2 linked regions of the Mus musculus genome follow. The protein of the gene in region 1 interacts with the protein of each later gene in a pairwise test. Links are inferred from orthologs where the notes say so. Each region holds a gene or a part of one and is shown in the gene's direction. Other genes may lie near its edges.

Region 1 (3,299 bases):
AGCATAAGATGGGGCAACAGAGCGCCAGCTCTCGAGACCTGTCTAGGAGCAGTCAGGGCAGATGATTGCCACTTACCATCATGAGGGATGCTTTAACTGTCGATTCCTGCTCGTTAACTTGGAGAAAGGAAAAGCACTTTGGGTTGACAGAAGTAGGATGAAAATTTAGGTCTGTTAACAAAAGAAAAAAAAAGGTCCTGGTGAAGTTTACACTGCAAGTTTTGTTTGCAGATAGTTGGGTCTTAGGACTCTTGCTTTTTTTAGTCCTGGACCAAATCAAATCCAGAAGAATGTCTATGACTTATGTGAGAATAATATGGCTGTTGTCTGTGAGATGGTCTCTACTCTGAAATTTGTATTCTACTTTTCTTTACAGTACTCTCAAAAAGAAGACAAGTATGAAGAAGAAATAAAGATTCTTACTGATAAACTCAAGGAGGTGAGCTGAGGGGCTGAGCCGCATGAACGATAGGAGGCGTTAATATTGTAATATTAATCCTGAGCCTTGCTGGCCTTGGCTCAAATGGCTTAGAGGCACGAGAGGAGGAAGTAACCATCTTTCATTCTGTTTGTTGTTGTGCTTCCTCAGGCAGAGACCCGTGCTGAGTTTGCTGAAAGATCGGTAGCCAAGCTGGAGAAGACCATTGATGACCTGGAAGGTATGGAGCACATGAGGGCGTGTGAGAAAGGAAGGCCTTGCCCGCTAATCTTGAGCCTTTGGTCTGTGCATCAGAGAAATGGTAGTGACTTGGAATATTGGATGCGTCCTGTCCTGTGTTAATGCTAGACTTGCAGGATTTTTAAATCTTTTCCTTTATAGTAAGTCTACTTATTTCTGGAATCTGCCATCCATCCTTTGAAAAGATGTAATGGCTGTATTTATCTCCAATTTGATCTCAGATATCTTAAATCTTGACTGTGAGTTGAAATGGAAGCCATGGTTTTGTGCATGCCACCCCATGGCCACTTTGGGTATCTCTTTTTATCATTCAGGCCGGGTGACACCTGCAGGAGATAACAACCAAGTCTTGCAGCCTGAACAGATCAAACAGTCAGGGCTTCTTGTTCTTGTAGTTTGGCAGCTTTGTCTGTCCACCTTAACAAAGAAACAAGTCCTTTGCTTTGAGACTAACTTCCTTGATACGCTCTTGGTGTTGGATGGTCTGGGAAAGGGTTCGGGGAGGCGGCCGTAGAACCGGAGTGGTGACCACCCTGAGTAGGCAGAGGAGAGTCACTAAGACTGCTGTGCCTTCTCCCTTCTCTGTCTTCCTTAAGTGTTAGCACTGCTTCAGAATTGGGTGGGAGAGGTGGCTTTGGGTGCCTGCAGTGCTGGCATGTGTTCAGGTTCTCAGTTCTTGCCGCAGTTGACTTGACGAGACATCAGGAAGTACGATTAGCTGTTGGGGAAAGAGGTCGGTCATGGCTGCCAGGATAGTTTTTATGTTTTTTTCCAGAATAGTTTGTTTTTCCTTCCTGGATTTAGACCTATGGTCACAGTTTTCCTATTTTCTAATGACTCCCTCTCTTCATCTGCTTCTGACACCTTTCACTTTATCCCCTCCATCATCCCTGTGGTTCCTGTGCCTGTCCAGACGAGCTCTATGCCCAGAAACTGAAGTACAAGGCCATTAGCGACGAGCTGGACCACGCCCTCAATGACATGACCTCTATGTAACTATCAGGCAGCAGCGTGGGGTTGGAATCCTGGCGGGTGGGTGAAGACTGTGCTTGGGTTTTGTCCTTGAATCTGCAGTCTCCACCCACTTGCAAACAAATGTTGGTGCTGGTTATCTGTTTGGGGAGCCTTTTAATCTTCATGTAATTTGTATTTTCTCTTATTCTCCCATCTAGTTCTAACAGGGTCTTATATAAGCCATATCGACCTTAGACTCCAACCTCTAAAGTGACAGCCACGTGCCACTGTGCCCAGCTCTCCTTCTCACTGAGTTCTCACTTTGGTTTCTCAAAACTAGGCAGGGTGACACACAGCTGTAAGCCAAGCCACCTAGATGCTAACACAGAAGGATTGGTGCAGGTTCAAGGCCAGCTGATGCTGGGTGGCAAGACTGAGTCTCAAAAGCAAAACAGAGCAGTCATGGTGGCGTTCACCTTTAGTCCTGGCGTGAGTGGTTGGATTTCTAGAATTCGAGGCCATCTTGGACTAAATGATGAATTCCAGGACTGCTAGGGTTATGTGTAGAGGTTCTGATTTGTGCCCTGATACTAAACTTAATGGGACATACCCAGGGTGAGAAGCAGCCAGTTTTGAGCTGAGTCCCAAAGCAAGCCAAGCAGTAAACAGCACCAAAAGATTTGGGGGACTTTACCTGTTTGCTGTGGATCTGTTGGTGCTAACCTGCAGCGTCTTCCCACTAACCCTGGGAGAGTGTTGCAGCCCGTGCGTGTGTCTGGCTTTCTCTCCTCCTGCTCTGTCGCTCTTGTTCCTTCTTCCTAAGCTGCTGCCTCAGTTGAGCCCGCCCTTCTCACCTGGAGTGTCCTTTTTCATACAGATAAACTGTCACCGTTTCTGCCCTGTTCTGGATCTGCCCCCTTTCCTTGGGGAACCCAACACCCCACTCGCTCTGGATTCCATTTGGGTCAGCCTGGCTGGTTCCTACAGCCTTAGGGCTGGAGGGCCTTGGGGGGGGGCACACAAAGCAATTTACATATTTGCTTTCCAACCCCATATTAAAATGTTAAGCTGCCAGAAGCCTCACGGCCTCTTGCATTTGTGTTATTGACAAAGTTGTTGGTGTACATAAGAAGGAGTCCTGCCAGTGTGATGTGGGGACAGCTGTATTAGGCTTCCCCTCTTCCAACTTCTGTATGATCAAAGCTACTTTGTGTGTGTGTTTTTCTTGACACTTAAACTTGCTGATTGGAGTCTTGTCCGAGTGACCAGTAAAGGCTTCTCATGGTGGGAAGTCTGGTGCTATTCCTCAAACCTTACTGAGGAGTTCTTACATAGCCCACCTGGACATTTTCATTCTTTTAGCCCCTCTCCCGTACAGTAAGGTCAGTGACCATTGATTTAGCTCCTATCACTCTGCCCTTTTGCCCAAGACTCAGAAACTACATCCTCGGACCCATCCTTACAGTTAAGTGATCATCCCAACTCACAGAGGAAGGTGTAACATGGCGGGTTGGATTCTTGATAGATAGGTGTTTCATCTTTAAGCCTTTCTCATTTCTCGCTCACTCGAGGCTGCTGCCATTGTCCTCTATAGGACGCACACGGCAAATGATGGGCAAAGGGAAAACAGCTAGTCATGCATATTTCAAACAACATACACGTGAGG
Region 2 (3,819 bases), on another chromosome or scaffold:
CCTGTAATGTCTAGCATAAGGATTTTCCTATTGGAAGGGTGAACAGTGCATATAAATAAAAAGTCTGCGGCTGATCTAGCTTCAGGCAGGGCTGGACTAAGAGACTTAAGCCACAGCACAAAGGCTGAGCTTTGCTGGGTATGATGGCCTCAGACCTATGATCCCAGTACAGGAGAAGCCGAGGCAGGAGGATTTTGTGAATTTGAGGCTAGCCTGAACTATATACCAAGTTAAGGAGTGGCTCTCTCCGTGGCTCCAACTTCACTTATGGAGATGCTAAGCCATCAACTACCCAGGCTAGGCTCTTCCTCCATCAGGTATGTAAGGCCACATGTCGTGGACCCCTTTGTTCTCACAGGAGGAGAAGATGCGGAAGGAGGAGGAGGAGGCAAAGAAGAGAGCAGAGGATGACGCCAAGAAGAAGAAAGTTCTGTCCAACATGGGAGCTCATTTTGGGGGCTACCTGGTCAAGGTGAGTCTAGCCTGTGGAAATCTGCGTCTACAAGGAGGGAAGGGAAACTTGAGGGTGCTGGACCTCATCCAGGGCCAGCTGTCACTGTAGATAGCATGCGGCAAGTAGGTGAGGGAGACACTCTGCTGATTGTCTCTGTCCCTCTTCCGGCCACAATGTTCCTCTGGTGGTGCCTGGGTGTGAGGGAAGAAGACCGGGGCCTGTACGCTTGAGGGAGGGGGCACGGAATTTGAGTTCCTGAGTCTGAGGAGAGAGGGCTGGAGCCTGGAGCTCTGGGACTGAGGGAGGAGGAGGCTGAGGCTGGACCCCTGAGTGTCTGAAGGGGGAGGGCTGAGATGTACTCCTTGCATGTGGTGGAGGCACTGGCCTTGCTGAGTGGATTTAGCCTCCAGGTTCTATCCCTGGCTTGGGATTCCTCCCACTCCAGGCAGAACAGAAGCGTGGGAAGCGACAGACTGGTCGGGAGATGAAACTCCGGATTCTGTCTGAGAGGAAAAAGCCCTTGAACATCGACTACATGGGGGAGGACCAGCTCCGGTAGGTCCTGGCAGCTCTCAAAAGGCTTCCACGGGCGATACTCCGGGTCTGAGCCTTGGTGCTGTGTTACTTCAGGCAATTGGCACTCCTTTTTCTGGGCCACTGTTGCTTTCTATGTTCAAAATGTCACTCAAATGCAAGCTACCCGGTGGATGGCCTGGCCTGTAGTGTCTGGCATCCACAGTGCCCCCTTCCGTATTTAGGTGGAATTGCAGCATTCAGGGAGGAGGTAGGAGGATCAATTCAGGGTCATCCTCTACTGTATATTGAGCTGGAGGCCAGACTTCACACACACACACACACACACACACACGCACGCACGCACGCACGCACGCACGCACGCACGCACGTACGTACGCACGCACACACACACACACACGCGCGCGCGCGCACACACACACACACGCACGCACACACACACGCACACACACACACGCACACACACACGCACACGCACGCACACACACACACACACGCGCACACACACACACGCACACACACACGCACACGCACGCGCGCGCGCACACACGCACGCGCGCACGCGCACACACACACACACACACACACACACACACACACACACACACACACACGCACGCACGCACTATGTAAGTAATAAAAACCAAACGGCTTTCACTCTGGGGCTCATAGCCATTACTTCCGGAGACTTCCATTTAGGAACTTCTGTTTCAGAAAGTGGTCACACATTTGAAAACCTTTTGTGGGCAATTTAGCAAGAGTGTAGCGACTATACCAATCCCAAAGAGACTTGCTGCATGGCTTGGGGTAAGTGGCTCGACCTCTCTGGACTCAGAGGGCAGCCTGGATCTTGCTGCATCCTGGTCCTTCTCGACCTGCTAGGGAAAAGGCCCAGGAGCTGTCAGAATGGATCCACCAGCTGGAATCAGAAAAATTTGACCTGATGGAGAAGTTGAAGCAACAGAAATATGAGGTGAGACCTACCTGCCTCTGTTGGGGCCCAGGCTGGGTGACAGGTGTGGCAGGTGGCCCTGGTTGGACATCTACCTAGCCTGGTCTCCTGCTCCACAGATCAATGTGCTCTACAACCGCATCAGCCACGCCCAGAAATTGTGAGTGCCACTCCCAACCTCCACAGACGGCTCCTTCTGTTCCCTCCCTCCCTCCCTCCCTCCCTCCCTCCCTCCCTCCCTCCCTCCCTCCCTCCCTCCCTCCCTCCCTCCCTCCCTCCTTCGGCTGCTTCTGCATACCACTGCCCTTTTGGCACCTCCTGTCTGTTTCCTGAGACATCCTATCCGTATCTGTTCTTGTGGGTTTATTTATTGGCTTTTTTTGTCTGTTTAATTTGCTTATTATTTCAAGGCAAAGTCTGTTTTGTTTGGTTTGGTTTGGTTTGGTTTTTCGAGACAGGGTTTTCTCTGTATAGTCCTGGCTGTCCTGGAACTCACTCTGTAAAGCAGGCTGGCCTCGAACTCAGAAATCTGCCTGCCTCTGTCTCCCAAGTGCTGGGATTAAAGGAGTGTGCCACCACTGCCCGCTCAAGACAAAGTCTTACTTGGTAGTTCAGGCTGGCTTAGAACTCACTGTGTAGCCCAGGCTGGCTTTGAATGTGTAAGCAGATCTTTTTGTCTCAAACCAGTGGAATGCTGGGATAGTTGATGTGACTTACCTACCATTCCTGGTTTTTTGTTGGACTGCTTATTTATTTTTAAGTCAAGGTTTCACATAGCCCAGACTCACTAGGAAGCTGAGGCTGGCCTTGAACTACTGATCCTCTGGATTCAGCCTCAGGAGGGCTGGGGTTATTGGCCTGCACTACAGTCTTTTGCTTTTCTTTATCAGCTCTTAGGTTTCAGTCTCACTCCCGGTCTGTATTCCTCCAATTCTTTTCTGAGTACATATTATTTTACACCATTTTTTGCATCATGTTTACATGCACACAGTGTGTACATGTGTATGTGTGTTTGTGTATGGGTGTATGTGTAGGTATGTATATGTATATGGGTGTATGAGTGTGTTCGGGTATGACTGTGTGTGTGTGTGTGTATGGGTGTATGTGTAGGTGTGTATATGTATATGGGTGTATGAGTGTGTTCGGGTATGACTGTGTGTGTGTGTGTATGGGTGTATGTGTAGGTGTGTATATGTATATGGGTGTATGAGTGTGTTCGGGTATGACTGTGTGTGTGTGTGTGTGTGTGTGTATGGGTGTATGTGTAGGTGTGTATATGTATATGGGTGTATGAGTGTGTTCGGGTATGACTGTGTGTGTGTGTGTATGGGTGTATGTGTAGGTGTGTATATGTATATGGGTGTATGAGTGTGTTCGGGTATGACTGTGTGTGTGTGTGTGCCCACAGAGACCAGACGTTTGTATCCACTGGAGCTAAATTACAGGCAGTTGTGCACCATACAACATGTGGAGTGTGCTCAGGAGACTTGGAAGACTTGGTTTCTTCTTCCTTGTGGTCCCAGGGATAAGGCTCAGATCTTAGGTTTGGCTGCAAGCACCTTTACCTGCTAACCCATCTCGCTGGCCTCTCTCTCTCCCTTTCTCTCTTTGTCCCTCCCTCTTCTGCCAGTTTTCCTTCTCTCTATTTTTTCTTATTAAGACAAGGTCTCCCCGTGGGGTGGTGGCGCACGCCTTTAATCCCAGCACTTGGGAGGCAGAGGCAGGTGAATTTCTGAGTGCGAGACCAGCCTGGTCTACAAAGTGAGTTCCAGGACAGCCAGGGCTACACAGAGAAACCCTGTCTCGAACCCGCACCCCCCCCCAAAAAAAAGAAAAGGTCTCCTGTAAGTTGGAGTGACCTAGAACTCCATTGGTATTT

The links.
Region 2: the proteins of Tpm3 (region 1) and Tnnt1 interact in binary tests that used the Homo sapiens proteins (3 or more experiments, as listed by UniProt). The two-hybrid records come from large-scale screens. The link is inferred for Mus musculus from reciprocal best matches to the Homo sapiens genes TPM3 and TNNT1.

Annotation. Positions count from the first base shown.
Region 1 is NC_000069.6:90,089,421-90,092,719, forward strand, and holds the end of Tpm3 (tropomyosin alpha-3 chain), read left to right. Parts: intron 1-376; coding exon 377-439; intron 440-589; coding exon 590-659; intron 660-1,592; coding exon 1,593-1,671; coding exon of another isoform or gene 1,672-1,675; intron 1,676-2,510; coding exon 2,511-2,514; 3' UTR 2,515-2,710; downstream 2,711-3,299. UniProt on the Homo sapiens protein: Binds to actin filaments in muscle and non-muscle cells. Plays a central role, in association with the troponin complex, in the calcium dependent regulation of vertebrate striated muscle contraction.
Region 2 is NC_000073.6:4,505,664-4,509,482, reverse strand, and holds part of Tnnt1 (troponin T, slow skeletal muscle), read left to right. Parts: intron 1-358; coding exon 359-472; intron 473-899; coding exon 900-1,009; intron 1,010-1,870; coding exon 1,871-1,961; intron 1,962-2,059; coding exon 2,060-2,100; intron 2,101-3,819. UniProt on the Homo sapiens protein: Troponin T is the tropomyosin-binding subunit of troponin, the thin filament regulatory complex which confers calcium-sensitivity to striated muscle actomyosin ATPase activity.